Cricetulus griseus: one gene and its partners. The protein of the gene in region 1 purifies or fractionates together with the protein of each later gene. This does not show direct contact. Links are inferred from orthologs where the notes say so. Each region holds a gene or a part of one and is shown in the gene's direction. Other genes may lie near its edges.

What was found.
Region 2: the proteins of Eef1a2 (region 1) and Eef1b2 purify together in Homo sapiens (co-immunoprecipitation; 4 studies listed by BioGRID and IntAct, counting the BioPlex papers as one, with this or other methods). This does not show direct contact. The link is inferred for Cricetulus griseus from reciprocal best matches to the Homo sapiens genes EEF1A2 and EEF1B2.
Region 3: the proteins of Eef1a2 (region 1) and Eef1g purify together in Homo sapiens (affinity purification with mass spectrometry; 4 studies listed by BioGRID and IntAct, counting the BioPlex papers as one, with this or other methods). This does not show direct contact. The link is inferred for Cricetulus griseus from reciprocal best matches to the Homo sapiens genes EEF1A2 and EEF1G.

Annotation. Positions count from the first base shown.
Region 1 is NC_048599.1:737,071-747,668, forward strand, and holds part of Eef1a2 (elongation factor 1-alpha 2), read left to right. Parts: intron 1-2,754; 5' UTR 2,755-3,003; intron 3,004-4,251; 5' UTR 4,252-4,324; coding exon 4,325-4,468; intron 4,469-5,861; coding exon 5,862-6,041; intron 6,042-6,591; coding exon 6,592-6,888; intron 6,889-8,369; coding exon 8,370-8,520; intron 8,521-9,651; coding exon 9,652-9,908; intron 9,909-10,594; coding exon 10,595-10,598. UniProt on the Homo sapiens protein: Translation elongation factor that catalyzes the GTP-dependent binding of aminoacyl-tRNA (aa-tRNA) to the A-site of ribosomes during the elongation phase of protein synthesis.
Region 2 is NC_048595.1:417,276,729-417,287,426, forward strand, and holds Eef1b2 (elongation factor 1-beta), read left to right. Parts: upstream 1-5,324; 5' UTR 5,325-5,603; coding exon 5,604-5,683; intron 5,684-6,148; coding exon 6,149-6,271; intron 6,272-6,876; coding exon 6,877-7,003; intron 7,004-7,129; exon of another isoform or gene 7,130-7,208; intron 7,209-7,288; coding exon 7,289-7,355; intron 7,356-7,509; exon of another isoform or gene 7,510-7,641; intron 7,642-7,762; coding exon 7,763-7,888; intron 7,889-7,989; coding exon 7,990-8,144; 3' UTR 8,145-8,197; downstream 8,198-10,698. Other genes in the region: Ndufs1 (NADH-ubiquinone oxidoreductase 75 kDa subunit, mitochondrial), read right to left, coding at 531-591. UniProt on the Homo sapiens protein: Catalytic subunit of the guanine nucleotide exchange factor (GEF) (eEF1B subcomplex) of the eukaryotic elongation factor 1 complex (eEF1).
Region 3 is NC_048596.1:51,123,338-51,133,935, reverse strand, and holds the start of Eef1g (elongation factor 1-gamma), read left to right. Parts: upstream 1-672; 5' UTR 673-809; coding exon 810-821; intron 822-1,826; coding exon 1,827-1,985; intron 1,986-2,987; coding exon 2,988-3,051; intron 3,052-3,202; coding exon 3,203-3,345; intron 3,346-3,616; coding exon 3,617-3,760; intron 3,761-6,305; coding exon 6,306-6,435; intron 6,436-6,677; coding exon 6,678-6,882; intron 6,883-10,433; coding exon 10,434-10,598. UniProt on the Homo sapiens protein: Probably plays a role in anchoring the complex to other cellular components.

The DNA of each region.
Region 1 (10,598 bases):
ACCAGGTGGAACTCCCTGGGAACTCTCTGACTAGAAGGTGTCCCCAGACCCTCACCCTGTCCCTAAGGCACTGTATAAGCCACCCTGGGCCAAGTGACACACATCTGTTGGATATTGACTCCAGGAGGCTGGCCTGGCCGTGGCTCACAGAAGGCACCCACACAGGTGGTTAGCTGGGCACCTCAGCTATTATTAACCTGACAGTGACATCACCACCAGCCAATGGGAGGCAGGTTTATTTGCAGGGCTGGCAGCTTGATAATGGTTAATTTTAGCTGGATCCTTCATTCCCAACATTTATGAAAACCCCACCAGCCAAAGAGGGGGATGCTGTCTCCCCAAACAGCTTGAAGTTGGCATCTGGGGGCTCCCGGAGGAGCCGAGGAGGGACAGAGCCTGCACCCTACCTTCCACACTGCTCTTAGGAAGAATCCTGGTTTTCTGTAGCCTCTCCTTGCTTGCCCTGCCCCACCTCTGGCAGTTTCCCAGGGTCACTGTGATCAGTAACTGAGAAGCAGGCCACAGGTGAGACCTGGATTGAACCATACTGTCTATGGTTCTAATGTTTTGAATCACCTACTTGCTGTGTTATCTCAGGCATTGGGCTTAGCTTTTCTTTGCCCAGTTTCCTCATAGGTTTTGGGTCCCCAGGCCTATTTATAGGACCTGCTTTTATGTAGTATTGCTGATTTCTTAGTCATTTAAGTACTATTAACTATGCAGTTGAAGAGGCTAGAAGCCCAAAATTCTGGCAAGGGGCTCAACCAGGCCTCACAGTGGAAAGTGGAGGGCAGGAGAGCCCTCCATAGGCACTTTTTATGGTAGCATTTAATCCATGGATAAGGCTGGAGCCCTCAGGACCTAAATGCCCCCTACTAGGAAGCACCATCCCAGCACCTTGGGATTTAGTCCCAGCACTGAGCTTGGGGGATAAGTGCAGATTGGGGCAATAGCAGCTCAGTTGCTGGAGCTATTGACTGTCTGGCAATTGCTTAATGCTGGTGGGTTAGTAGCCTCTTGGAACTCTTGGCTGCAAGGCTGCTCAGTGGGGTTAGTGTGTTATTGTTCAGCACTGTTACCTCTTGAAGATTTGTTTTTCTGCATATCCCTAGGATCTTCCATGCCAGCAAAGGCTTCAGGGACTTGCACTGGTAGGCAAAGTATGTGCAAATGACAGGGAGGTAGTTTTGGCCTGCCTCCCCTAGGTCAATGTATAGGTGTTTCAGGAAAGATATGACATCTTGCCATCAGTGGTCAGTCCTCTAGGTGGGTAAGTTCCTGACCTTGGATCTTGCTGGCTCCTTGTGTCCCAGATGTACACAGAGGAAGACTATATAGGCAAGCGGAGTCTGATGAAAACTCCAAAGCTGAAGGTCCGGGGGCTATTCCCAAGGATTCTGGACTCTGAACCTCTCAATTGAGCCCACCCAGCCTCCTGAATCCCAAACTAGGCCTGATCTCCTAGTGGAGAGAAGAGCTGGGCAAGTGGGCAGGGTAAATGCTAATGTCCTGCCAGGAATTTATTTTTAATTCCTGGCTCCCAGTTGACAGTATCAGCAGTCTTCGGAAGTGCCGGGTCATCTGAGAGGCCTGCCTGGTCTCTGGCTGCCCTCTGCCAGACAGACCCTCAGATTTCACCTTAATACCTTCTTCACCTACTTGCTAGCTGCCTGTCCTACTGGGCACCCATCTCCAGGGGCTCCTCGTGGGTACTCTCTCAGTAGGATGTGCTGGGCCCTGACCTGGGCCTTCTATGTCTAGATCCATTCCACACCAGTGTGGCAAGGATAGGCACAGGGCATGCTGTCATTCAACATAAATACCCAAGTAACCTTTGCTTCCTACCTGCCCTACCATACCCTGCAGTGACAAAGATCGGTGACAGCACTTGAAAATGTCTGGGTGAGATGACAAGATAGGGGTCTCTGAAGAAGCCTCTGATGAGGTGGGCACAGCTCCCTTAAGGCCCATTTTGGTTACATTCATCTTCCTAGACTCCTCAAAGTCTCCCTATTTCCTACCCATGGGGGCTGAAGGAGGCTGGTGCTCGACCCTGGGGGCTGGGTCTGAACTCTGTTTGGAAATGTTTGATGGTCTTAGCTAAGACAGTCTGAGCAGGAATGCAATCAGGACTGTGCCTGAGCTCTAATGGGCTTCATGCAGTCCCCCCTCCACCCCAAACACACACCTAAGGGAATAGGTAGAAAAAGCCACTTTCCAGGGTTTCAGGCCAAGGTTGTATCTGGGCTGGACTTGCTGATGCCCTCAAGGGCCTTCCATGTTGGGCCCATGTGAACAAGCATGGGGCACTCACTGTACCAGGGGGATCACATCATGGAGAGCCTCTGGGAACTGAACTTCATGTTCACTGGGACTCAATCACAAACCGGGCCAGCACTGGATGCCCAGCCACATCAGGACTTGCAGGGACCTTGACGTGGGCTTGAGCTTCTTCCCCCCTCCCCCACTCGCTGGTTCCCTGTCTTGCGTTCCACCTTCCTGAAGACATTTTTTTTTTTTTTTTACTTTGAATGTGTCCCACCCCCCGCCCCCGCTTTCCAGCAACCCCTGTCTCTGCTATCCCATCTCTTCTATCTGATGCTTCTTTCCCTTCTCTCCTTCTCTGCTCCTCCCTTCCTGGCTCTGTTTCCCTGCCCCCACCTCTGCGTGCTCCCCGCCCTTTTGCCTGTTTTTCTCTCCTGGTCTGCGCTCTAGCTCGCTGATTCTCCAGCTTGCTCTGGCGCATCTTTGCAGCTGCGTCCTCTCGGATCCTCGTTACGCCGCCGGCCCGCGCCCGTGGGTGCGCGGCCCCTGCGTCCGCGCATCACTCGCACCCCATCTGCCAGCCTCCCGGCGCCCGCCTCCCCCCGCCGGTACCGCATTGCTGTACTGCAGGGGCGCAGTGCATTGCGCCGGCACCGTCAATAGGTGGACCCCCTCCTGGAGAGATAAAACCGCCGCCGCCGCCGCCGCCAGTCCCTCTGACTGAGACCTCGGCTCTGGGTAAGGACGCACATCCCGGTCTGCGACTCTTGCTTAGGTTTCCACTGAAGGTTCGTTTCCCTGGGAACCCAACCCAAGGTAGAGAGGACACGCGGCACCTAGCTGAGCTACACCCCTGGGTTGGGGGTCTCTCGGTTGCACACCGGGCATGGTGGGTCCCCGTGGCAGTCTGGCGGTGTGTCCCCCTAGGCGATTGTTTACTTGGTGACAGTGGCGGGGACTGTGGGGAGGGGGTCTTCTCCTGAAACCTGCGATCACGCTGTCACTGTGACCTTGGGGCTCTCCTGGGCGCTGCGGGGCTGGACAGGCTGGTTGGTGCAGGTGCTGGTGTGGTTAGGGGCTCTGGGGATGTTAGTGATTTGTCAGAGAGGGGCGGGGGAGGTGGTGAAACCTGAGGACCCCTACCCCGCCCTACATGGATCCCACCCTAGGATTGTCGCCCCCCCCGCCCCCCCTCCTGAGCTTCTCCGTTGACCTCTGTGATGCGTGGGTACTGAGACCCAGGGCCTGTACCAGATGGTAGGGGCAAGGGTGAGGGCATTTCTGAGGGCACTTGCTGAGCTGGGGCAGGGAGAGATTTTTATTCCTCTGGCTAGAACAGGACACTCACCTCTCAGCCCTGATGGCTGCCCCCTGCTTGAGTATGGGGAGGGCCTGAGCTATTCTGGGCCTATGCCTGGGCACCATCCAGCTGTCTCCCCTGCCAGCCTGTGGGCAGAGAGGGGAAGATGGCGCCCTTGCCTGTGGAGGGGCTGAGGAGTGCTGGCCTTTTCTTCATGGTGGCAGCAGATGGGGGTAGGGCAGTGTCCCTCCCTGGGCTATGTGTGTTTGTGTGTGTGTGTGTGGGGGGGGGGTAGCGGCATCGAGGACAGGGAGGACGAGGCACTGGAGAGCTGGGCACAGTGACTCATCACAGGGCTCCTGGCTGCTCCAGAGGATCACTCAGCCTGCTGCTCTGTGATGTCCAGACCAGATTAACCCTTTCTTAAGGAACTTTCTTCCAAATCAACTCTCCAAATATTTGTACTCCAAGGAACCATTTGGGCTAAGGTAGAGGAACAGGTGGCTTATGAGTGCAACCTGGCTGGCCTGGGCTAGGATCAGGGTGAGGGGCAACCATTCTTCCTCATCCAACCTCAGGTGACTGGGTGAGGACAAGCTCTCAAACAACAAGAATAGTGTGGGTGTCTCTGTTGGGCTCTCTCTGGGCCTCAAAATCACCTATCTCCCTTGTCACTGGCCCCACAGAGTTCCTGCCCAGCACACCCTCAACCCAGAGCCAGAGCCCCCACAGTGCCAGCCCCTCCTTCAACCAGGCAGAATGGTCAAGGAGAAGACACACATCAACATTGTGGTCATTGGCCATGTGGACTCAGGCAAGTCCACCACAACAGGCCATCTCATTTACAAATGCGGGGGCATCGACAAAAGGACCATCGAGAAGTTTGAGAAGGAGGCAGCAGAGGTGAGCACCATGGGCCCAATGCTTTCATTGCTTGGTTTATACCTTCAGTGCAAAGGATGTCTGGGGGTGGGGGTAAGTAGGGCAGCCTCCCTCTGAGAATGTTGCAAGATCTGCTTCAGACTGAGGGAGGGAGAATGTGTATCCCGCCCAGGTCCACCAGAGGGCTCTGGACTCTTGGCCTCAGTAGGCCAGAGGGCCCTCAAGCCTTATCCTCTCGTTCCCCAGGGCTAAAGCTATGTTGGATGTGGTGTTGCCCTCACTTGTCTTGCAACAGCCAGGGCTCAAGGATGCTATTAATAGCTGATTGATGGGCAGCAGTCTTGCCAGCTCCACTCTCTCCAGATAAGCTGGGGAAGGTTGTTGCTTCAGGATGGTGCCTGGAGTGGGGGGTCTTGGTAGCCTGTTCCTGGTTGAGACCTACGAGTGGGCAGTGGTTGTAACTGGATTCTCTTTCCTGCCCCCGGAAGAACTGGTTCCTGGAAAAGGGCTAAGGTCAGACCTGAGGGCAGCAACTCTCTGTGTTGAACTCCTGCTCCAGTGTATATGTGGGTTTTGAGCCACAACTCTGTGTGTCTGGGGACACCTTTAGGGGGTATTCCCAGAGGAGGTGGTAGCAGGGAGATCAGGGATTGAAGGTCACCTGGGTCAGGTCCCAGCTGGGTTTTGTCTGGACCAGCTCCTCCAGGCTGGGCAGCATCCCTGGAATGCAGAAGCCTGTCCTGTGAGATTCTGGTCAGGAGTTGTGTTCAGCTGAGCAATGACCACAGTTGTGGTCCAGGCTGTAGCAGTCTCACCCAGGCACAAGTTGGCAGAGAGCAGCCAGCCTTGCTTTGAGTGGGGGTGTTCTTTCTTCTCCTATTTTGGTGTAAGGGGGGAGGGAGAGCTTTTTAGAAGTACTCATCAGCTACAGAAAGAGCTGAAAAGCTAGACTTTTCTCAAAACCTTGACCAATTTATTTGTTTTTTTAAAATTTCATGTTTTTGAAATAACTCAGAGGTTTTTTTTTTCAATAGTCCCAAACCCAATGAGATAATTGACCTATAACTGACTAGGGTGTGGAGTCTTAGCCTCAGATAGTGAGGAACCCTTTGCCAGGGATGAGAGGTTAATGAGGTCTGGCAATGTTCAGACCCTCATGCCCCCTTCTGGGTGTGTCCATAACCACTTAGGAGGGGAGTGGGGGTGGGGCTGATTGATCTGGGTGGCTTCATTTTGTGGCAGAGCAGGGTTTGGGTGTCAGCATCAGAGAGACAGTACAGAGGTCTTTGGTTCAAGGTGCTTTAGCCTAACCCTAACCTCTCATGGCTGTTTCCATGGCCCAGGGCAGGCCTGGCAGGTGGCTGTGACCCCTGAGTCCTGTGTCCTATCCTGAGTTGCATCCCTACTCTTTCAGATGGGGAAGGGGTCCTTTAAATATGCCTGGGTGCTGGACAAGCTGAAGGCAGAGAGGGAGCGTGGCATCACCATCGACATCTCCCTCTGGAAGTTCGAGACCACCAAGTACTACATTACCATCATTGATGCCCCAGGCCACCGGGACTTCATCAAGAACATGATCACTGGCACATCTCAGGTGTGCAGGGAGGGTACCGAGCCCAAGAGCTCTCCTGAGGTGTCAGTGTCTCTTGTACTTTCTGTCAGGACAGAGCTCCACCCAGGTCACCTTCATCCTGCTTGGCACAGAGTCCCTCAAGAACTGAGTCAGTGTTTATATCTCAGCTAGATGGGGTGCCTGCAGGGTTACCCAGCCATGGTTGGGGCCAGCAGTCAGACAGAGGGGAAATTGTAGGCATGTCCTTCACAGACAGATTCTTGTAGAAGAGGCCACATTAGGGATAGTGAGATGTGGATAGAAAATCAGTCAGACAAGACAATCACAGGCAGACAAGACAGAACCAGAAGCCAATGACTCATCCAAGGGCACATAGCCTGCTGGTGTTGGAGCTGATGGTCAGTTTCGGGCCTTCTTAACTCAGGGCCTAGTGAAGGAGTCCCCTGCTACCCTAGAGGAGGAGATCCTGAGTCTCCATCCCCAGGATAACTGCCCAGGTCCTATTTTGTGGGTGGTAGGGCTAGGTAAAAGGTGGGGCCAGGGGGCTCACTGTCTCTGATCTGTTGGCTAGGCGGACTGTGCGGTGCTGATCGTGGCAGCGGGTGTGGGTGAGTTTGAGGCGGGCATCTCCAAGAACGGGCAAACCCGGGAACATGCCCTCCTGGCCTATACTCTGGGCGTAAAGCAGCTCATTGTGGGTGTTAACAAGATGGACTCCACGGAACCAGCCTACAGTGAGAAGCGCTATGATGAGATTGTCAAGGAGGTCAGCGCCTACATCAAGAAGATTGGCTACAACCCAGCCACAGTGCCCTTTGTGCCCATCTCAGGCTGGCATGGGGACAACATGCTGGAGCCCTCACCCAATGTGAGTGAAGATAGGTGTAGTGGGGCAATACTAACCTTCCAAGAGCCCAGGGCTCCAGGACTCTAAGTCAGGCTGGGCCGAGCTTCCTTTGGTTCAGTTGGCTTTCTATAGTGATGAGTACCAGCCTCCTGGGGACACTTCCTAGTAAAAGACCTGCACTTGGGGTCTTCTAGCTCAGCCTCCCCATGAGGCCAAAAGAGGGAGATGTGGCTCCTTCTCTGGCCACAGTCTCTTGGGCCCTGGATCTCACTATTGGGGGAAATCAGTTTTTATTTCTCCCAAGCTGCTGTCCTGGCCTTGGATACTGTGCAGGACCAACAAGGCCACAAGGCCTCCCCTGAGGTCTGAAGTGGGTGGTATCTGGGAAGCATGCATGTCCCTGGGCTGGCCTGGGGAGTGGAAGAATGTCTTTTGGTGGGTCCTCTGGAAGCTTGAAGCTTCTGCTGCTCTGGGTCTCTGGGTTTTGGGTGTAGAGGAGAAAATTTTCAGAGAGAGAGCCTGGGACCTAGATCTTGGTCTACCCAGAGGAGACCCCTGTCTTAGAGAGGTGGACACTCAGCCAGCTTTTCAGATGCCCATAATGAATGAAATGGTATGAGGATATAGGCTCTCTTGAGATAGCTAGGGGACCAGTGCCTGGTGGCATGGGGACAGAGTTTGGCAGGCAGGGGATACTGCATCTTGCTCTTGCTGGTGTATGATTATCAGGACCTTAGAATCCCCTGGGGACCTTTGACCAGCAGAGTCCTCCCTGCTTCCTACTGCTCTATTGTGCTCTGGGGCTCTGTTCACCCATACTTTAAGAGCCATCTGTTGGCCTGAGGTGCCCGAGACCTTGTCATAAAGACAAAGGCAGGAGGACACACAGCCCCCTGGGTGGATTTACTTCTTGTCTGTACAGGTCAGGAGGGTTTGAAGTCATCCCCCAGAGAAGCCCTTTTGGTGGTGGTGGTGGTAGACACTGATCTTGGAGACAGCTTAGTAGCCAGCAGAGCTTCTGGGGTTGGGGCAGAGGCTGGAGTTTATCTTTGAAATGGCCATTGGCTAGGCTTGAGTCCCTAATCCCCTGGTACTTGACCTGTCTAGGGCTGTGACTGACCAGGTCCCTGAGGGATTAGGGAATCAGGCCCAGTTGAGGGGTCTCATTTGCCAGTGTTGGGGACATGGCAATACAGTCTGGAGAGGTGTGAGGGGTCTCATTTGCCAGTGTTTGGGACATGACAGTATAGACTGGGGAGGTATTTTTTGTTTGTTTTGCTTTTTGCCCCTTCCCTCTTTTCTAAGTTATGTTTATTCAGGGTCCCTATGAGGTTGGGAATGTGAGAAAGGGATGAGGAGCAAGCTATTCAGCTTGAACAGTGAGTCTCCTTCCCCTGGCTATCCTTTAGGCAGGTGCCACCCCCAGAATCTCAGAGATCTGAGGTTGAGGGTGTGGTCAGGTGGGTTGCCCTATAATTGGCACCTTTTTTTTTCCTGCCCAGATGCCATGGTTCAAGGGCTGGAAAGTAGAGCGCAAGGAAGGAAATGCAAGTGGCGTGTCCCTGCTAGAAGCCCTGGACACAATCCTGCCCCCAACCCGCCCCACTGACAAGCCCCTTCGCCTCCCACTGCAGGACGTGTACAAGATTGGTGGTGAGTGAGGTCTCAGTATTGAAGGCGGTGATAATGAATTCACTAGACCCAAGATACATATGGGAGCTCATTTCTCCCTGCAGGGGCTTGCAGACTCTGTCCCCAATCTTGACAGGGACATCAACAAGGAGCCCTCAGGCTGTTCGTCTCCACCCACCTCTCTTCCATGTTCTTTTACACTCATCCATTTCCTCCGCACCCTTGATTCTTGTTCTATCCATCCATCCACACCCCTCCTACCCACCTCCACCCATCCATCCATTCACCTAGCATTCGGTAGGATTCCTTTCCCACTCCCCAGATCCCCAAGCACTCAGCCAGGAGCCAGGGACATCAGATGGGAGCTTTGAACTGACTTACACTTCACCTGCAGGGTGAGGGGCGCCTGTCTCATGGGAGGCAGTCCAAGTCAAGGAATGAGAAATGCAAGTCATTAGTCAATAGAAACCAAAGCCAAACATGAGACAAGCAAAGGGAGAGGACGGACTGAGGATACCATGCTGATGCTCACTCCAACACAGAACACACCCTCTGGCTTTTCTCCATCGCCCCATAATGCCACCCCCCAGTCTTCCAGGGAATGGCGGAGAGCAGTGCTCCCTCTCTCAGCCACTTTTGCTCACCAAGGTATCCCTTTGGTAACCACACTGCCAGTGTGGGCAGGGCTGCCAGAAGTGCTGGGGCCAGATGCTTCTTCAGCGGTAGAACCACAGGGTTACAGCAGGACTTGGGGAGTCCTATGTTCGCGAGTGCATCCCAGTGAGTTGGCCCATGCCTGGCTGTGGCTCTCAGAGAGAGAAGGGACACTGGTGATGCTCCCTCTGAGGGACAGCTGTCCTCCAGGAAACAACCCCATGCTCCCTTTTCTGTCCTGACCCTTACCTTTGAATCCTGGGAACTCTGATTTAGTCTCTTATTCCCTGATGGGGTCAGGGGAGACTCTCCTGCTGTCACTTCACCCTCTGCTTGTCTAGGGACCCCGTTTCCTTACTTCCTCCATGACTCTACTTCCTTTGATACCTTCAAAGAGGAACAAGCCCTGAACTCTGTCTACTTGCAGGCTTTCTGCTTTTTGTTTTGCCCGCACCCCTTCTCTGGCCTGCCCTCTCACTGTATCCTCTCTTGTCCCAGGCATTGGGACTGTGCCTGTGGGCCGAGTGGAGACTGGTATCCTTCGGCCTGGTATGGTGGTGACCTTTGCACCAGTAAACATCACCACAGAGGTGAAGTCTGTGGAAATGCACCACGAGGCGCTCAGCGAGGCCCTGCCTGGTGACAATGTGGGCTTCAATGTGAAGAATGTGTCCGTCAAGGATATTCGCCGGGGCAATGTCTGTGGGGACAGCAAATCTGACCCACCTCAGGAGGCTGCCCAGTTCACCTCCCAGGTTGGTGGCTGGGCTAGTGGATGTGGTTCTTTATCAGAACAGGGGGAAAGATGGACTGGGGTATCAAAGAACAGTAGCTTCTGGCCCTTCGCCTGGCACTGAAGGGAAAGCCCTCCTTTTCACCCTAAGGCCGCTCAGTGTTCAGAGTTACTAGCAGGTAAGCAGAGCGTCAGTTCTCTCTGGGCAGATGCATACGCCACAGTACATGTGTGGAGGTCAGAGGGCAACTTGGAATCAGCTCTCTACTTCCATCATGTGGCTCCAGGGATGGAACTCAGGTCAAGACCTGGAAGCAAGCACCTTTGTTCCAGAGTCATCTTACACCTTTTTTGTCATCTCTTCATAGGATGAGAATTTTAGAACAGTTTTTTTTTTTTTTTGAAATGTAATAGAAGCCCTATAATTGAGGTTTGGTTTTGTCCTGGTCCTTGGTTCTGGTCAGGATTAATATGCCTGTGCAGTCCTGGTTCTTAAACAGTGCAGCTATCTGTTGATTGCCTCTCAGTTTGCTTGGCAAAATATTGGGGGGTGGGGTATGAGCCCAGAAGTGGGGTTCCTGTGCCCTGAACATTCCTTGCACAAAAACTTGGGGATTGGGAGGTGACCCTGTGACTGGAGCCACCCCACCTAACAATGGCTCTGTCCCAGGGGACCTGACTCATGGCTGTCTTCAACTCTGCTGTCAGGTCA
Region 2 (10,698 bases), on another chromosome or scaffold:
GGGAGATCTTTGTGAGTTTAAGGCCAGCCTGGTCTACAGAGCGAGTGCCAGGATAGGCTCCAAAGCTACACAGAGAAACCCTGTCTCGAACCCCTCACCCAAAAAGATGAGACTTTAATATTGCTTTATCAAAACCAAATGACCACTGTTTTTGGTTTTGAAACAGAATGTAGTTTCTAGTATTTTCTATTATGTGTTTTTTGTTTATTTTGAAAATTTTTTTGTCAACTTGGGTCAATTGTTTCTACTCTTATTTAATGTAAATTATGGGCTCAAAAATATCTGATAGACCATGGAACTGACAAAGGTAAGTCTAATACTCATGAACATATATATATATATATGGCTCAGCAGTTAAGAGCACTGACTGTTCTTCTAGAGGTCCTGAGTTCAATTCCTGACAATCACATGGTGGCTCACAACCACCTTGAATGAGATCTGGTGCCCTCTGCTGGCATGCAGGCAGAAGACTGTATACATAATAAATAAAATAAAATAAAAAAAACAAACAAACAAACAAAAGAACTTACCATATCCTTTAGCAGACTTAGAAAGGGCTATTATGGCCCTTTTTACAGGTATCCTTAACATGTTGGCTAAAAAATAAAATAAAGATGAATTATAGTTATAATTCATAATTATAAAACATCTGGTATTCATATACATTATTCTAAGAGAATCTTCAGAAGTCCTGACGTTTTCTCTCAAATTGTATATACAACATTCAGTCTCAGAGACATTAGCTTATACAATGTCACATAGCTAAAAAGCAGTTAGCATACAGTAGACTTTGGGTCCTCCTCATCTAGATAAGTGCTTTACAACTGAACTACATCTCCAGTGTAAATTTGGGCTTTGTGATGCAAAGGGCAGTTTTGTTATAATCAGAAGGAAGTGGTGAGGGCTTAGAATACAGCTTGGTTGGTATACAACACACAAGAGTGCTTGCCTAGCATTCAGGAAGTCCTAAACTATAACCACAGCACAACATAAATTGGCTTACATGTCTGTAATCCCAGAATCTGGGAGGATCAGAAGTTTAAGGTCATCTTTTGCTACATAGCAAGTTTGAAGTCAGGGAGAGATACAGGAAACACTATCTTAAAAGAAAAAGAGCTAAGAATAAAGTAAAATAAATTGCAAAAATAACTATCACCTTTAGTCCCAGCACTTGGGAGGCAGAGGCAGGTGGATCTCTGTGAGTTCGAGACCAGCCTGGTCTACAGGAGCTAGTTCCAGGACAGTCTCCAAAGTCACAGAGAATGCCTGTCTCCAAAAACCAAACCAACCAAACAAACAAAAACCCCCAAAACAAAAAATTACCAGCTATTTAAAATAAATAAAATACCTTAAGGACCATTGTTTTACACCGAGTAGTAAGTTTATCTCACAGACCTGGAATTTGCCTGTATTAAGCTTATATCCTGAATGTATCACGACCTCATGGAATCTCCCACTTCAGTACCAATTCCCAAGAGCTCATAAAAATAAGCTTTACAGCAATGGTCCTCCATTGGACCTGGTGTTACAGGACTATAATCTCAGTTACTTGGGACACCAAGACAGCAGGATCACATTTCCAGGCCTGCCTAGACCATGAGTGAGTTCAATGTCAGCCTGGATAACTTGTTGAGATCCTATCTCAAAAAACAGAAAGGTGACTGGAGAGGCTCAGCAGTTTAAAGCACTCATTGCTCTTGCAGAGGACTTGGCTTCAATTCCCAGCACCCACATGGTGGTACACAGCCATCCATAACTGCAGTTACTCATGTCTTCCTCTGATCTCTGCATGCACCAGCATACACAGGGCACATGCATACATGAAGGCAAAACATTCATATACAGAAAAGAAAATATAAATTATTTTTTTTGTTATTTTTGTTTTTTGAGATAGGGTTTCTGTATGTAGCCCTGGCTGTTTTAGAACTCACTCTGTAGAGCAGGCTGGCCTTAAACTCAGAGATCTACCTGTCTCTGCCTCCTGAGTCATGGTGGGATTAATGGTATGTGCTACCACTTCCAGGTGTGGAAGCATTTTTTTAGTTGAGGCTCTTCCCTCCTTTCAAATGACTTCAGCTTGCATCAAGTTGACATAAAACTGCAGCACAGCCTCTAATATCATAATTTTTCTTTTGGAATTTTTAAGTTTTGTTTAGTCAGTTGGTTTTTGTTTAGTTTTGGTGACGGGATCTCATGTAGCTCAGGCTGACCTTAAACTCCTGATCCTCCTGCCTTTATCTCCAAACTGCTGTTATTACAGGGATGTATGTACAAGATGACTAGTTTGTTGTGTTTGTTTTTTCCTTTTAAAGGAAAAAAATTATGTGATTAGAAAGTATCAACATTAAAAAATGAGTAAAAAAGTTTCAATAGCAGTAGCAGAAGTAATAGAAAATAGTACAAAAACTAAAATTTTTTCTTTTTTTTAATTAAAAAAATTAAGTGTAAGTGTATTATATTTTACCTGTATGTATGTCTGTTCACTATGTGCATGCTTGATGCCCAGAGAGGCCATGACTGGGTGTCAGATCCCCTGGAACTGGAATTACAACCAGTCATATAGTTTTTAGGAATCAAACAAGGTTCTCTAGAAGAACAGCCAGGATTCTTAACCACTGAGCCACCTCTCCAGCTAATCTTGAATTCATGTCCTTCTGCCTCTACCTCTTCAACATACCCTATTGGCATGTGCTACCACACGTGGCTTTTGGCTATACAGAGACCAGGCTGGCCTGAATCCCACAGAGAGAGATTCATCCACAGGCCTTTGCCTCTTAAGTGCAGAGATTAAAGGCACTACCATTCCAGATGAAATAGAATCCTAAACTCTAAAGCCTATAGTTATCACAGATGACCTATAATTAAAAATTCATTAATTTACAACTCATTTCACTTAATTCCTTAATAACAGTAATTACAATTTTCAATACTGAATTTGAAGACATCAAGTCTGGTGTCTGTAAATAATTTCTGGTAAATCAGTTATTGTTTGTTTATCTAGAAAGCAGATCTACAATACCAAGGTCAGTAATTACCAATAATAAAAACAAAGAAAAAATTGCAATAAAAACTGACTTCAACTTCAATGGGCATTGACAATCAGATGTAAAGTGCTCTTCGCTTGTGGTCCTTTTCTTTACGAACATCACACCATACATTTATTTTACTGTTCTATTTACTAAACTTGGGCTAAGCATGTAGCTTTAGTGGAGGACCACTTCTTCAGCCTACACTGGGCTGTATCCCAAACACAAATAAACAAACAAGCCCCCAAAACTAAGTTCCTGGAGAATTTTGGTAGCTACTAGACTTTAAGTTCCTTGACAAGAAATCTGACTATTCCCATTTTCTGGCACAGTACCCTTACAAAAACAAGTCACCAAATTCCAGGATGAGCAGTACATACTCCATTAGCAAAAAGTACTGATGGGGCCAGCGTGGTGGCCCATGGCCATAATCCCAGCACTGGGGAACTTGAAGCATTTGATGTCAGCCTGAGCTACATGATATAAAACCTACATAGACAGTTCGAGGATAACCTGGTTTATACAGCATACAGTTTGTTTTGTTGTGGTGTTTTGCTTTGGTGGTATTTGATTTTTGAGACAGATCTCATAAACCTCAGAATGACCTCAAATTTGCTATGAAGACAAGGATCAACTTGGGACTCCTAAACTTCAGATCTCCACTTCCCAAAAAGCACCAGGATTATAAACATGAACCACGACATCCAGATTGGTATATGTTTCTTGTTGCTGCTTTTTACATTCATTTATTTACTTTGTGTGTGCTAGCATACATTAACTGCGGTGGGGCTCGTGCAGATGAAAGCCAAAGAACAACTTTTGGGAGTCAGCTCTCTCCTTTCACGTGTGGGTTCTAGGAATTGAACTCAGGTTGTCAGGCATGACAGCAAGCACCTTGCCAGCCCTGGAATGTATTCCAAACAGGAACAAAAATAGCTACTCAAGCTAGGGATGTAGTTCAGTTAGTAGAGTCCTTACCTAGCATAAAGTCCTGGGTTCAATCCTCTGTCTCGGCCTCCCCAGTGCCGGGATTATAGACAAGCACCACCGCACCTGGCCCATATCTTGGCTGTGACTTAGACAAACAACTTTCTAAAAGTTGCTGATGCTCTAGCTCAGAACACTCCATTTAATGCAAAACTCAGTGAAAGAAAAGAAAAGAAACCCCCCCCAGGAAAAACGAAACCTAATGTTTACAATTCAGTTTGACTTTGTATCTCAAGACCTTGAAGACACTGCAGCTTCCTGATTTGCGGCTGGGCCCCGAGCAAACTTTTTAAGATTCATTTTTTTTAAAACTTATGTGTGCATGTGCATGTCTGTGTGGGGCTCATGTAAGTGCAGGTGCTCACAATCTAGAAGAGGGTGGCAACCTCCTAGGGCACAGTGACAGGCAGTTGTGAGTCTTCTGAACTGGACACTGAGAACCGAATTCGGATCCTCTCTGCAAGGTACTTGAAAAACCGCTTAGCTAACCAGCCCCGGCTAACTTTTAAAAAGTTGTGGGGAGATTTCCCCGTCAGTAGAATAAATAAATTACTACCCAACATGGTCAATGAACTAGACAAAAACAAACAGTAGTGTGGACAGCTGCAAGACAGCAACTAACCAATGATGCCTAAGGTTTAAGTCCTTCGTGACACTGGGGCATGAGCCGGTCTCCTGTCAAGGCCACCTCCTGCTTTCCCCTGCAGAGAAAGCAGCTCGCAAGCCCGAGTTCCCAAAGGTCTGCTCCTCTTCCTCCCTCTGCTTCACCGGCCGGTTCTCCCGGGTTCCCGCGGTGGCGGGGCGGGAGGCGGTACCCAGTCAAGGACAAGAGGGGAATGACTTCTCTGACCTAAAGGATACAATGCTGCCAAGAAATGGAACCCGGCTTGAAGCCCTTCAGCCTTCCCACCTAAACACGCCCTCACCTTTTCTCCGGAGCCCACTAGGCTGCTCCGCGGACTGGTCCGGATCTCTCTGACCCCTCAATACCGGGCCGCTAAGTCAATATGGCGGCCCCGGCTAACTCCGTCACAGGAACTGGAGGACGGAGAGCCAAGAGGGACGAAAAACCCAGGCTCGACAATTTTTTTTTTTTTTTCCCCCTCTTTGGACTTGTTCGGCAATTTCCGGCAACCCGAGCGAGAGTCGGGAGGAAGCGGAGGGGACGACTTGGACCCGCAGTTCCGCCGGAAGTAGCTGAGGCCTTGAGGCCGAGCGCTTTCGCTCAACTCCGGCTCTTCGGGGGGCGTTTCCCTTAGTTTCGGAATCCTTGTAGGTAGGCCTTTTAAAATGCCTCTTTTATTAATTTCTCTCCGGTCCCAAGGAAAAGCCCGCGGACAACCTGTGGGCCGTTTGATTCCCAAGTCCCGGCTTTACGTGGAGGGACGAGACTAGGAATGTCCTTTGACCTTTAACCTCTAGCCGGTGCAGTGGAGGGAAACGCCTCCGTCTCTATATAAGGACTTTTCCGGCCGGCCCGGGCCCTTTTTCCCTTAGCGCCGGCCGCGGGCTTCTGGCGCTCTCTCTCTCTCTCTCTGTCTCTCCCTCTCCCTCCCTGCTGCTGCCGGCCTCCGGGATCCAACCGACGCCATGGGTTTCGGAGACCTGAAAACCCCCGCGGGCCTCCAGGTGCTCAATGATTACCTGGCGGACAAGAGCTACATCGAGGGGTGAGTCTGGAGGCCGGGGCCACGTGGCGCGGGCTCGGCGGGAGGAAGGGGGGGGTGGGAGCCGAGCCTGGGTCTCCCGGGGCCCGGATGCTGCCGGAGCAGGACCTCCCGGCAGGGGCTGCAAGCGGAATCATTGAAACAGGCTTGGTGGCCGCGTGGCCGCGTTCAACCAAGTTCTTCCGCGTCTCCGCCGAGTTAGGAAATCTAAACCTGGTTTGGTGGCTGGCCCGATGGCAGATGGTAGCTTTTGAGGTCTGTCCAGATACGTGGCAGATGCTGTTGGTTTGTGGAGATTCGAACACGTGTTCGGTGCACTTTATAGTTAAAAGCAACTAAAGCAACTTGTTAGCCCTGCAGTAGTTCCCACTAGTTAGTCTGACGGGTGTAGAGCTTGTCCTATACTAGCTGGTGTTCGTGTCTTTTCTTTAAGAGGTGTGTGCACTTTGTTTTTTGTGTCACCGGCAGGTACGTGCCATCGCAAGCAGATGTGGCCGTCTTTGAAGCCGTCTCTGGTCCTCCGCCCGCTGACCTGTGTCATGCTCTGCGCTGGTATAACCACATCAAGTCTTACGAGAAAGAGAAAGCCAGGTAAAAAATGTCTTGGTGCCACCTGGGTTTTCACATGGTAAACTAGGACCTAGGTTAAGTTACTTAGCTTTGTTGGGCTTGGGTAAGCTGAATTTCTTTGTGACCTTAAAAGGCCAAGAGACTGAAGCCCTCCGTTTTCTCACGGAACAGGTAGAACATGGACAACAGCAATTCAACTTTACCCCACACCTCTCTGCCAGTATGCTTGGACCTGGGGGGGCCATCGCTGGGGTGAGAGGGTAGCTCATTCATTCAGTCCCTGGCCATTCTTCTGAAACTACCAGCAAGCAAGGGTGGAGAGTTTGGGGAAGTGGACTCCAGTTAACTAAGAATGGAAGTGAGCATACTTAATGAAATCCCAAACAGAGATGTTCATTCTGAAAGAGTTAAACCATAGTGAGTATTGAGTATGATGTCTCCCGTGGTACTAATGTTTGTTGGAGGAAGAGCTAGACACATAACATCTTTACCTGGGATTGTTTGTGCTAAAGGATAAATAACCAGAATAGAAGAGATTGAGTGTTACTGGGAAAGAAAGGTTGTGTGTTTTGCCCAGAAAAGAATATGACACCCGACCTAATATTGGTAGAATGTTTGTTTTCAAGCCTGCCAGGAGTGAAGAAATCTCTGGGCAAGTATGGCCCTGCCAGTGTGGAAGACACCACAGGAAGTGGAACTGCGGATGCTAAAGATGATGATGACATTGATCTCTTCGGATCAGATGATGAGGAGGTATGGCTGACCTCATATAGAGTATGTTGATAAGGCAGCGTAAGTGTAGTATAAGTATAGCTGTGTAGTCACTCCCTGGAGTTGACCCCTGGCTTTGCTTTGTTATCTGCCTTTAAAAAGATATCACTGGGTATATGATGAATAAAATCAAATCACCATCTTTCGGCTGAGCTCCTGATGGATTTGCTTTTTTCTGATAAATCTGGTCTCTTTTTTTGTAATGACCCTGTCACTGTGTTTAAGCAGAAGATAACCAACTTTGTGAAATTTTTGTTTCCTATACAGGAAAGCGAAGAAGCAAAGAGGCTCCGAGAAGAGCGCCTTGCACAGTATGAATCAAAGAAAGCTAAAAGTAGGTAATTTTACAGTTGTTTACCTTCATTGGTAAATAATAATGTGAGTGGTGGTCTTTTCCAAAGCTTGACCCTAAAGTGGTTTTTTTTCCAGTTTCATTGAATGGGTCGGTATTTTTAAGAGTCTTCAATAAACATCTTTCCTTATGGAACATCCACAGCTACTGGTCTACAACTGTTCATATGATAGCAGCTGTAGCATTCCTCTGTGGGAAAGAAACTGTTACACAATTTAATGCCTCTTTCTTAGCCAAATTGAAAGAGGAATATGCGTGACAGACACAAGGTAAATTCTGTATGTTTTTTCAGCAAGAAGATGTCTGTTTTGAAACAAGTTGAGATTTGGCCTACGGTAAAGGTGTTTAGTAGAGTGCTTAAGTATAATGCATTTCTTAATCTTTTTTAGAGCCTGCGGTTGTTGCCAAGTCTTCCATCTTACTAGATGTGAAGCCTTGGGATGATGAGACAGACATGACAAAATTAGAGGAGTGTGTCAGAAGCATTCAAGCAGATGGCTTGGTGTGGGGCTCTTGTAAGTTTACTGATGGGTTTTGAAGTTGAAATTCATGTACATTTTCAATGTTTTCCCATCAATAAGAATTTCCTAACTTTTTTCCCTTGTTCTTTTTTTAGCCAAGTTGGTTCCGGTGGGATATGGAATTAAAAAGCTTCAGATCCAGTGTGTAGTTGAAGATGACAAAGTTGGAACAGATATGCTAGAGGAGCAGATTACTGCCTTTGAGGACTACGTGCAGTCCATGGATGTGGCTGCTTTTAACAAAATTTAAAACCATCCTTGGTCAGTGCACTTGAATAAAATCTCAAACAACCCTTGACTCTACATTCTATTGTGAGAAATGGTGGTGTGTGTGTCTTCATTTGGGGGAAAGGATTCAGTGGCTATGTAATTCCTAAGTAATGAAAACTTGGCTGGAAAGACAGATAAAGCACCAGGTCAAGCCCACTTGGCCATGCTTGATTGACCAGCCAGAGTTTAACCCTCAGGACCCACAAGGAAGAGGACTGACTCCTAGAAGTTGTATTTTAGCCAATGTGTTTTTCACATACCATATGACTACACACATTAAAAAAAAACAACTGATGTGTTATTAAACATTTAGCAATTATAGTTAATTTTGTAGCCTTTGTTGATAAAATTCTGTGGCTGTCAGCAGCAACACATGGTGCTGATGAATATGGTCTATTGTGAACAGACGTCTTCAAGATTGCTTTTTTGAAAAATTGACTTTTGGCCAGTAAGATGGTTCAGCCAGTAAGGGTACTCATAACACACATTTACCGCTTGGGTTCGGTCCCTAGAACCTGGGTGGGAAGTAGAATGCAGACTTTGGAAAGTGCTCCTCTGACCTTGACATGCACAGCACTCAGTCACAGAAGTATTTTCTTCATCAGTGTTAATGTATGTGCCACATGAATGCCTGCCTGGGGAATTCATAAAAGGTTATTGGGTCCCTTGGAACTGGAGTTACAGATGGGTGTTAGCGACTATGTAGGTGTTGGTGCCCAGGTTGTCAAATATTCCTAATTGCTGAGCAATCTCTAGCTCCCTCCTTCCCTTTTCTATGCCACTGTACCAGAGGAGGTGAGTCATAACGTCCATTTACAAATGTCACGTATTCATTCAGCTACAGAGGATGGGCCTATTGTTAGAAGTGTGATCTGATGCTAGGGATTGTACTGCCCTGGAAGTACACCATTGAACACATCAGCCATTTTGGCTTCATGTTAAATACCAAATGTAGTTACTATTGTTTTTACAGTTTGGATGTTGTGTCTTTAAAGCTTGCTGTATTTTGTAGATAGAATTCAGAAGGATAAATAATCCAGGGTTATTTCGCTCAACCAGCCAGTACTCTTGCTATCAATCTAGTGAGGGAAGCTTCCTGTAAAGATTTATTTAATAAAACATTCGCTGAGGAAAAGACAACAGATGCGGCCTGAAATAGTGGGAAGATTTTTTTCAGGATCATAATGGCCAGCAGAGGGCAGTGTCTAAACGACGAGAGCCAGAGGAAGGCAATGTCAGAACCATGAGGGTCGGCAGAGGGCGCACTTGCTCTTCTGGAAATTCATAGTGCTTGAGGATTCTGCAGAACACTGACGTAAAGGTATATTTTATTCATCTTATACTGGTGTCCACGTAAACAAAAGACCAAAAGATGGAACTATGCTGGCGATGCATGTTCTTTGAAGTACTGAGTTCGGACCAGCCTCTATATCACCTGGGAAATGTGTTTCTATTGTTTATAGTAATCTACACACTTGTATACAGCCGGAATTTTCCATAACCACGATGTTCTAAAAAACTAAAACTGAACACAAAATTGTAGACACGCTTCAAGAGGTCTGTCCCCTCTGATTCTGAGCCAGCCTAGTCTTGCTTTGACCAGTTGGATATTGTGGAAACAAGGCTGTGAGTGACATTCATAACCTTTAACAGGCCTGAGGATGAGGTTCGGTGGTGGAGCACTTGCCCCTTGCAGCTTTTGGACTGAGAAGTGTAGACGTGAGAGCAAGTACAGTTGATTAACTCGTCCCAACTATTCCAGGCTAGGCCACTTGCATTATTACCCATCTGAGGCTCCAGACAGACATAGGAAGCAGAGTCAAATCACCCTCTGTCTTGTTGGTTTTCCAGAACCTCAGAATTTAACTATACCAACAAGAAATTGTTGCTTTAAACAATTAGATTTTGGGGAAATTTATTAAACAGTTAACAGGAATGGAAGTTTTAAACCAATATAAACAATTGATAGCTTAATTTATAAATTATTAAAGTTGAATATATATGTATTATGCTGTTAAAATATATGTATATTCAGCTGGGCAGTGGTGGCGCACTCCTTTAGTCCCAGCATTTGGGATGCACAGGCAGGTGGGTCACACAGGCAGGTGTGAGTTCGAGACCAGCCTAGTCTACAAGAGCTAGTTCCAGGACAGCCTCCAAAGCCACACAGAAACCCTGTCTCGAACCCCCCCAATATATATATTCAATTTGTTTATTGGAACTTGAGGTCAGTCTAGGATACATAGTGAAACTCTATCCCAGACAAAGATTTTTGTTAATTTTCTCCTTTCTTAGTAACTGAAAAGGTGATGATTAGGGAGCTGGGGAGATGCCCTAGTTCTTAAAGAGCAACACACAAAAAGCCTGGCATGGTGGTGACATGCACTCAGTCGCAGTGTTGGGGAGGTGAGACAGGCAGATCTCTGGGACTTGCTGGCTAGCCATCTTAGCTTACTTGGTGAGCTCTGGGCAAGTGAAAGACCCTGTCTCAAGAAAAATTAGGTGGGAGGCTCGTGAGGAGCAACAATCTAGGT
Region 3 (10,598 bases), on another chromosome or scaffold:
CCTGACTATCCTAAAACAGTCATTATGTCCACTTCAGAGGTCTTCCCACCTCATACCACATTTATAGGGAGTTCCACACCACAAGACAAAGGCACTGATTTCTGCTGCCTTTTCTACCCTTTAACACTAGAGTGAGTTCAAATTTCCCTTAAGTTGGATACGAGATTTCCAAATTTGGATATGTGTAAATTATTGCATTAGAACTGGTCTACCTTACCCGACCTTCTGGAGCACAGCCCGGCTTGAGAGGTGCAGGTGACATACAAGTTTGCCGGTCCCCTTTGTTGTAGAGTTAACATCAAGGTTGTTTAGTCATCGCAGACCTACTTTCAGATGTTTTCGGCCATGAGCCCTGCCGGACAGACAATCCCTTAATAGAAAAACCCGAACAGGAACAAAAGGAATTTAGTGACTTGCCACTCCTTCCTTGCAGCCCATGTAGTTCCTAGTAGGCTAGAGCTACTAGCGGTTGGGGCGGTGCTTCCGCCGGTTCTCACACTCTCCCCGCCCTCAGTGAGCTCCGTCTCCTATCAGGCTTCCGATTGGTCGGCCACACGGGCGGGGCGGGCTGCCCAGAGCCATACTACGCAGGCGCCAGCTCTTTGCGCTCCAGGCAGTGCGCCCCACCCCGTGCTTTTTCCAACTCAGCGCGGCTGGAGACGGAACTGTCGTGCGTATGCCTTTTATGCCGTCCTCGCTTTCCGGCCGCTGTTTCCGTACGGCTGTCCCCTTACCCCCTCCCTTGTCTCCCTGGCGGCTTACTTTGCGGCAGCACCGACAGCCCCACCCCCTTTCTCTGCGGAATCACCATGGCGGCTGGGGTAAGTTCGCCGGCTCTGGTGATCCAGGTCACTTCATCCACCGCCATCCTTTGACTGAGTCGGGTCAGTCGGCGCCAGGAGAGTTCCAGACCCAAACGGAGAGCCGATCTGGGGTTCGCAGGCCGTACCGCCGGAGAGCAGGGTTCCTAGGGCCTGGAGGGGAACTGAGGCTGGGGCTCGGAGGCCAGAGGTGGAATGTTCTGGGGTTGAGGAGAAGAGATGCTGGGTCTTCAGTGTCTGGATGTTTAAAAAGTGGCTCAGCTGCACTGCCATTTTAAGATGTGGTGTCTGGGTAGGTTGGTGGAACTTTTGCGACCGTTTTGTGGGTCACCGACGGGGACAGTGAAAAAGGAGAGGGTCTTTGTGGGCAGGAGGGACTGGCACAGTTAGGAGTTGTCTTTTGGGGAGGTTTGGGAGCAGAGGAGTCAAGGAACACTGAAGGCAGACCATTTGGACACCTCTGGCCAGGTTTTAGTAGGGAGACAACTGGAAACACTGAAGGACAGGACCAGAGCGATGTTAGTGCTCGGTGAGGAAAAACAGACTTTTTAGGAAGAGGAGTTGATGAGCAGAGCATGCCGCTAGAAATCAACGTGGCCATTCTGAGGGGAACTTTGAAATCCATTGGTCGATGTGTGTGCTTGTGAGGTGCTACCAGCTTGGCTGTGGCCATACACTGGGTCACCACGAATGAATGAAACAAGGGCTCTGGGAGGCAAGGGTGTGTGTATTTGGGCAGATGAAGACTGGTGGGACCACGAAGTTCTGAAGGGAAGAATGCTGCTAGTGATGTCCTTACGGGAGGTCACGTCTGTCAGCAAGCTTTATTTAGCAGCTGGTACGCAGTTCTGTTCTCGCTATTTCAGAGGACTCTGATTACATAGGGCATACTCAGTTAATTTGGTTTACCAGAAGGAGTGGAGATGAATCAAAGGCTTTGAAAGTGTGGGGAGTCGCTTTCAGGATTCTTGTACTCATGTCCATTCTCCACCCTTCCTCTCACAGACCCTGTACACATATCCTGAAAACTGGAGAGCCTTCAAGGCCCTCATCGCTGCTCAGTACAGCGGGGCTCAGGTCCGCGTGCTCTCCGCACCACCCCACTTCCACTTTGGCCAAACCAACCGCACCCCTGAATTTCTCAGAAAGTTTCCTGCTGGCAAGGTGAGTAGAGAAGCAGGGACCCCAAAGAGCCCTAAAATTCTATTATTTTGGACATGGCCTCCATATTCTATTCTTCAACATTGAAGTTACTTTTTAAAGATTTCATGGGGCCAGGGATGAAAGGCCCTGAGTTTGACTGTCCAAGCACCCAGAAGGAAAAATAAAATCATTTTGAAGCCTTCTGGTAATCCTAGCATTCTGGAGACTGAGGCAGGAGGATTGTGTGAGGTCAGTTTATATAATCTAATATGAGCCTTTCTATAAAGGGAAATTCAGAGCAGTTTGGTGACTCTCAGAGTTACAGACCTGCTTTGGATTTGTGGGATGAAATGTATTTGGGCCAATACATACATACTAGGTTTCTTGCAAGTTGGATTCATATCCCAGAGTGCTTGAGTAGAGATAAATATCCAACGCTGAGTATGGAGGACGGCAAATGCTGTATATGTGTGTGTGTGTGTGTGTGTGTGTGTTGTTGTTGTTTGTTTGTTTGTTTTTTGAGACAGGGTTTCTCTGTGTAGCTTTGGACACTATCCTGGCACTCACTCGGTAGACCAGGCTGGCCTCGAACTCACAGAGATCCATCTGCCTCTGCCTCCCCAGTGGTGAGCGCCACCACTGCCCGGCCAAATGCTGTGTGTGGGTTGCACCTAATGCCTTGGGTAGCGGAGTTGTAGGTGGAGGACTGTCTGAAGACATCCATACCTGAGAATATTCTTTATTTTGAGATGGTGTCACACTAGCCCTGGCTGATTTCAGATTCAGACTGGGAATAAGGGTATGAGGCCGTAATTTCACATTTCAGCCATGTTTGAATTCTTAGTCCAGGCACTGGATTCAGATTACGAGAGAGTTACTGATTATTTTTCATATGAGTCTCAGATAATGTTGCAAGTTTGCATAGCAAGGGTTGTCTCAACATTCTTGACAGTTCAATCCCAAGAATTGGCTAGTGAGAAATCCCTGTGTTTTGCTTTTGTCTCTTAACTACTTCGCCCCTAGGTCCCAGCATTTGAGGGGGACGACGGATTCTGTGTGTTTGAGAGCAATGCCATTGCCCATTACGGTAATTTGTGGGGACACAGGATTGAGAGGTTCTGGGGATGAGGCTGTAGAAGTGGCTGGGAGTGACGGCAGTGGACGGGGTGGGATCATAGAGACCTGGGTTGGTTTGGGCATGATCTTTAGGTTCCAAGCTTTATGTTGTGCCTTTGCAGTAAGCAATGAGGACCTTCGTGGAAGTACTCCAGAGGCAGCGGCTCAGGTGGTGCAGTGGGTGAGCTTTGCTGACAGTGACATCGTTCCTCCAGCCAGTACCTGGGTGTTCCCCACCTTGGGCATCATGCACCACAACAAACAGGTATGCTTTGGAACTTGGCAGAGATGGGGTCAACTCCTATATTGGAGGGAAAGATGCCAGTGATGTGTGGCAGTGCAAAGTCGTAAGTGCTCGCCGTCAGTATGGTGGGAAATAGTCATGTCAACTCTGAAGAGACTGAACATGCATGTTTTAGTTCTAATACATTTTCAGGTGATCCTAGATTCTAGTGATAGAGGCTGGGGGTTGAGCCAATGCTGATTAAATGGAAAGGGACTTGGTACCCACTAAACTTGAATATTCAAAACAACAGGCCACTGAAAATGCAAAAGAGGAGGTGAAGCGAATCCTGGGGCTGCTGGACACTCATTTGAAGACAAGGACTTTTTTGGTGGGTGAGCGAGTGACCCTGGCTGATATCACAGTTGTCTGCACCCTTCTGTGGCTCTACAAGCAGGTAAGGTTTGTAAAGAGCCCATTAGACAGGAGATTGACTGGTGCTGGGGTGCCCTGGGTTCTACTTAGGACTCATCAGTTAATGGCTGTAGGAATCCCAGGATTGAGTACGGTGGGTGTTTTCATTTTAGGTGATGTTGCTTAGTTTCTTGAAAATAATGGGTTTAATTTAAAGATGGGTAAGGCTGGGTGTGGTGGCTTACACTTGTAACCTCAGCACTTAAGGTACTGAGGCAGGAGGATCACTCTGGTATGAGGCCAACCTGGGCTGTATAGCGAGATCATAAATTAAAGATAGGTAAGGATGGTCACTGCAGCGTCAAGGGCTTTTGGAGGCAGATCCAAGTCCCTATCCTGGCTTCATTATTTACTGGTACAGATAGAAGGATGTAAGAATTCTCACAGTTCTTTATTTTATTTTACTTTATCTGTGTTAAATTCAAGGTGGTAGTAATCACTGTGTGGTTCCTATGTTTTTTAAAACATTTAAAATTGTTTCATTTATGTGTATTAGCATGTATGTATGTACATATGTGTACCGGTCCTAAGGAGTTTTGAGCTACCAAGTGAGTGCTGGGAATTGAACCAGGGCCATCTAGAAGAACAGCCATCTGTCTGTCTGTGTATATGCATGTATGCCTGTGTGAGGGTGTCAGATCCCCTGGAACTAGAGATACAGACAGCTGTGAGCTGCCATGAACCTGGGTCCTCTGGAAGAGCAGCCAGTGCTCTTAGCTGCTGAGCCATTTCTCCAGCCCCTCAGGTTACTGGTTTTGTTGTTGGGTTTTAAAGAATGTTGTATTGATTTCCAAGCAATAGCTGGGGATCCATTTTGATTCAGAATTGTAGTACAGTAGGAACAAAGAAAAAAGCTCCTACTGTTCTGACCGTATGCCTCACGGGGTTCATTATAATGTTTCTGTGCCTATAGCACACAGCTTGTAAGTACTCAAGTATAACTTGAACCCAAGTATTCAGAACTTGAAGTTCCCAACTTCCTGATTTCTGTGATCTGTCTCCATGACCAGATTTAGCTCTCACCCCCTCCTATTTTTGGCAAACTTGAAAATGACAGGGGCTGGAGAAATAGGCCAACAGTTAATACTTGCTGCACTTACAGAGTACTCCCAGCACCCCCATGATGCCCTAATAGCTGTATCTCCCTTTCCAGGAGATGCGATGCCCTCTGAATTCAGGCTTCTGTGAGCACTAGAATGCATGTGGTGTACAGATATATGTGCAGGCAAAACACCCATATACATAAAAATGGAAGGTAAATTAAGAATTTAAGACAGTGTGTGGCTGAAGAGATGGATCAGCATTTAAGAGCACTCTGCAGAGGATTCAGGTTCAATTCCCAGTACACGCATAGCAGCTTATAACTTTCTTTAACTCCAGCTCAAGGGGAATACAATACCTTCTGGTCTCAGTGGGCACCAGGCTTGCACACGGTGCGCAGATATGCATGGAAACAGAACACTTGTGTAAAAATGAAATAAATGTTAAAATTTTTTAAAAGAGGATAGTGAATTTTTCTGTGAATGAGTTAAAAGAAGGACTGTTCTGATCATACTGGGTTGCTGAACTACACTCTTATTTGGTTGGTGTCTTGGGTTTGGTTGTGTCATCAGTGTGCAGGTTGTAGTTGCAGTGTGGAGCTAGAGTGAGGCCCAGTGACATGGTTTATCTGGCAATGCTCTAGGTTCCATTCCCAGCTTCACACACAAAATGTCTTTTTTGGGGGTCAGCTTGTTTAGCAAAATAAGTCTAGTAGCCACCCCCACCTAGCATCACCCCCTTGGATGCTAGGTTGGAGCCCAGTGTCTTGTGAATACTGGGTTACATTGTGCTACTGAGCTAAGCCCTTAGTCTCTTACATAGACTCTGTTACAGACTTGTTGAATCTAACTTAAGAAAATTTTGTTGACATGAAATTTAAAAGATTAAGAATAATAGACATGAAATTCTTGTGTAAAAGAGTATGACAACAAGGGGCTGGAGAGATGGCTCAGAGGTTAAGAGCACTGACTGCTCTTCCAGAGGTCCTGAGTTCAATTCCCAGCAACCACATGGTGGCTCACAACCATCCACTATGAGATCTGGTGCACTCCTCTGGTGTACAGATATACATGGAAGCAGAATGTTGTATACATAATAAATAAAATCTTAAAAAAAAAAGTGCACTTGCCTGGTGGTGGTGGTGGTGGCGGCGGCGGCGCACACCTCTAATCCTAGCACTTGGGAGGCAGAGGCAGGTGGATCTCTTTGAGTTCGGGCCAGCCTGGTCTACAGAGTGAGTTCCAGGACAGCCATAGCTACACAGAGAAACCCTGCCTTGAAAAAGATAAAACAAAACAAAACAAAAAACCCAAAACACAAAAAAGGACCCTTTGTAAGTAGTCCTCTTGGAGATGTAGTGATTTAAAGTTTTGCTGTTGGGGATGGAGAGGAAAGTGGAGCTGGGGGTAAGGGTCTTGTGCTCTTGTTGGAGATCTGTTCATAGCCTTTCTAGTGTTGACTTTGTTTCTGTCCTTCCATCCTGGCAGGTCTTAGAGCCTTCTTTTCGTCAGGCCTTCCCCAATACCAACCGATGGTTCCTTACCTGCATTAACCAGCCCCAGTTCAGGGCGGTCTTGGGGGAGGTGAAGCTGTGTGAGAAGATGGCCCAGTTTGATGGTAAGTCTGGAGACAGCATGTGATCAGGGTTCCGTTTGTTCCTGTCAACAGCCTTTGACTTTTGGTGACCCCTGAACATAATCTATCAAATAGTTACTGGCACACTGGAATGCAGAGTGTGATAACTTGTGTATGCTCCTTGAGGCTTGTTTGGTTGTCCTTGCCATCACTTTCCATTTGTTGCCTGGTTTGGAGGAAAATGGAAAGAGGCAGTATATTTACTTCCCTCTCTCCTTTATCAGCTAAAAAGTTTGCAGAGAGCCAGCCTAAAAAAGAAACTCCAAGGAAAGAAAAGGGTTCACGAGAAGAGAAACAGAAGCCCCAGGCTGAGCGGAAAGAAGAAAAAAAGGCAGCTGCCCCAGCTCCTGAGGAGGAGATGGACGAGTGTGAGCAGGCACTTGCTGCTGAGCCCAAGGCCAAGGACCCCTTTGCTCACCTGCCCAAGAGGTAAGCGTGTTGGAAGGCGTTCTTAACCTGTTCTTAGCCTTTGTTCCTCTCACATACATCTAGGCCTGCAATTTGAGGTAGTTGCTGCAAATAGTGATGGGTGTAAGTATAGTCCTGGTCTCATTGTAGTCCAGGCTGGTTTGTGAGGCTGTGGGGCAGAGGATGCCCTTGAATTTCTGACTTATCTTCCTGCCTCCACCTGGGATGTACCAGTATGGAAGTCCTGGTGTTTTTGTTTGTTATTTGTTTTTTTGAGACAGCTCTGGCTGTCCTGGAACTTTCACTGTAGACCAGGCTGGCCTTGAACCTGCCTCTGCTTCTCTAGTGCTGGAATTAAAGTTGACTGAAGAATAGCCATCCTTGTTCAGTTTTGACCTACCTGCATTTTGTGATGTTTTAATGTGACTATCCTGTAGAAGCACTCCCGTGATGACTGGCTCTGGAGGCATGGATACTAAAGGGCAGGGACTTCCAGCTGAAAGCCTTAATTTGTAGGAGTTGTTGGTTGGTTGGTTTGTTTGTTTTTTGGTATGAGACCAAGAAAACTTAAGCTCTAATAGGTGCTTCTTTAGGTAGGTAGGTGTGTGTGTGTGTGTGTGTGTGTGTGTGTGTGTGTGTGTGTGTGTTTCTGAAAGGGGCTGGAACTCAGGTTCATTTAAGACAATTTGCTCTGCCTGTGAGTATATCTGCAACCCTGCTCTCAGAATACAATGAGTTCTGAATCAAGTGATTAACCCGAGTTTTGCACAAGCATAGATCTAATGAGAAGAATTTTGTTATGTTAAAAACCTATTCTTTTGTTATAATATAGACACATGTGGTAGGTCCTTATTATGGACAGAAAATAAGTAACAATGAATGGAAAGGTTTCTCCTTCCTCCTTAGGTTTTTTTTTTTTTTTTTTTTGGGGGGGGGGTTTTCGAGATAGGCTTTCTCTGTGTAGCTTTGGAGGCTGTCCTGGCACTCACTCTGGAGACCAGGCTGGCCTCGAACTCACAGAGATCCGCCTGCTTCTGCCTCCCGAGTGCTGGGATTAAAGGCGTGCACCACCAATGCCCGGCATCCTTAGGTATTTTTAAATTAGTTTATTTTGTGTGTGCATGTGGGCCCACTCTTGCCAGCCATAGAGTGATGCATTGATGTGTATGGAAGTCAGGACAATTGAGATGGAGTCAGTTCTCTTTTACCATGTGGTTCTTGGGAATCAAGTGAGGTCATCAGGCAAGCATCTTTACCTGCTGAGCCTTTGGCTCTTATGTACCTTTGAGGATGTTAATTTAATGCCTATTTGTTGTATTACCACGATGCCTTTCTGGGATGCCAAAAGTGTTTCCCCTTGGTACTGTTTTATTTGCTATTGGTTGGTGGGTGGTTCTCGGTTTTTAGACAGATTCTTATGTATTGCAGGCTGGTCTCAGACTGTAGCTAAGAGTGATCTTAACTTCTGGTCCTCCTTGTTGGTCTCAGTCCCAAGTGCTGGATTGCTGACATGAGCCATTACACCTCACATCCCTTAGGACAACTCTGGCTGTCATTGAACTCTCAGAGATCCACCTGCCTCTGTCCTCCTGAGTGCTGGGATTAAAGGCGTGCACCATGGAGGCTGGAGAGATAGATGGCTCAGCGGTAAAAAGCACTGGTTGCTGAGTTCAATTCCCGGCAACCACATGATGACTCTCAACCATCCACAGTGAGATCTGGTACTCTCTTCTGGCCAGCAGGCATGCATGGAGACAGAATACTGCATACGTAATAAATAAATCTTAAAAAAAGTCATGTGCCACCACTGCTGAGCCCCCTTACCCTTAGGCTTTTTAATCGCATAAAATTGAAGGCAGTGATTTAACTGTCATTTGTTGAAGATTTCATTCTGATCCCTTTAAGATCTCCCAGCTAGGTGAGTTTTAGGAGCTTATGTTTATTATATACACACATATACATATATTTAAGAGTGCTGGGAATTGAACTTGGGGCTTCACCCATGCTTAGGCATTTGCTGTGCCATCTAGCTATACCACTAATCCTAGTTTTTTGAGGCAGGATCTGTTAAATGCCTATGCTGAGATTACAGATGCAGACCATACTTGGTCTGTGTTATTTGGGGGAAAAACAGATGGAGTGTGAGAAAGTCTCCAGTCCTACCTTTTGGTTGGAAAGGGGAGGTTTTGAGGTTTTCAGGCCCTTAAAAAGAGTTGTCTGGTGGACATTTGGAGACCAGTCTGGGACCTTTGGTTAAATGGCAGATTTCTGGCTTTGCTATATATAGTATAACCTTGGACCAGGCTCAACATTTAAACTCGTCTGTAAAATGAGAAAAACTTAGACTACAGCTTTTGAGTTAGGGCCTTGGCACTTGCCGTTTCTGAGGATGACATTGGACTTTTGATTCTCCTGCTTCTCTGCCTCCCATACTCCCTGAGAGTGGTGCAGTGGTCATCCCTAACTTGAAGCAATATTTATGCCTTTGGTAGGGGGTGTTTGAGACAGGGTTTCTCTTTGTAGCCTTGGCTGTCCTGGAACTCACTATGTAGACAGTCTGGTCTCAAACTCATAGATATACTTGTCTCTGCTGGGATTAAAGGTATATGCCACTACTGCCTCGCCATTTAAGTTTCTTTAGATTTTTTTTTTCTTTTTTTTTTTTCTCCTGGTTTTTCGAGACAGGGTTTCTCTGTAGCTTTGGAAGCTGTCCTGGAACTAGCTCTTGTAGACCAGGCTGGTCTCGAACTCACAGAGATCCGCCTGCCTCTGCCTCCCAAGTGCTGGGATTAAAGGCGTGCGCCACCAACGCCCGGCAAGTTTCTTTAGATTTTTGTGCAGGAGTGCTTTGCCTGCATGTTTGTATGTGCCTGCCTGATGTTTGTATATGCCTCCCTGATGCCAGAAGAGGTCAGAGAGGGCGTCAGATGCCATGGAACTGAAAGTGGTTGAGAAATACAATTGGGGGGGAAAAGTAGAACCTGAGCTATGGGGGAAGTAATACCTCCTGTGCCTATGTTAGCTTTCTTGGCATCTGGGTATCTGACCCTGAGTGTCAGGTTACTTTGGTAACCTTTTCTTTGATAAGCTTTTCAATATATAAATTGTTATTGGGCAAAGAGGAACTAGAGGACCTGGGCATAAAGATTTGAGGTGGCTATCTTCTGCTTGCATTCTGGTTCCAGCCTGTAACCCGAGAAGTCCTGTGTGGTGGGTGAGTTTTACTTGAGCACTGACTTGTGGTTCCTGGGGAATGTCCAGGAGGGCCTAGACTGAGAAAAACAGACTACCTCGCTTTTAGCCACCACCTGGGGGCAGCAGCTAGCTGTATCCTCCATACCTTGCTGGCTTCCTCATGCATGTCTAATACTCTTAGGCCCAGAAATGTCTTAGCTCTTGTTCATGTCCCTCTATCTATCTTTGCTCCTAATGCTGTGAGTGTCTGACATTGCATTACAGGGACCACTTCTTTCAAACTGGTATATTTTAAGTGAAAACACCATTGACCTAGAGATACTTTGCAGTTGTAGCATGGCTTCCTGCTTATTAGCCTCCTGGTGTTTTCTCTTTAGTACCTTCGTGTTGGATGAGTTTAAGCGGAAGTACTCCAATGAGGACACAGTGTCTGTGGCGCTGCCATATTTTTGGGAGCACTTTGATAAGGATGGCTGGTCCCTGTGGTATGCTGAGTACCGCTTCCCTGAAGAGCTCACCCAGACTTTCATGAGTTGCAACCT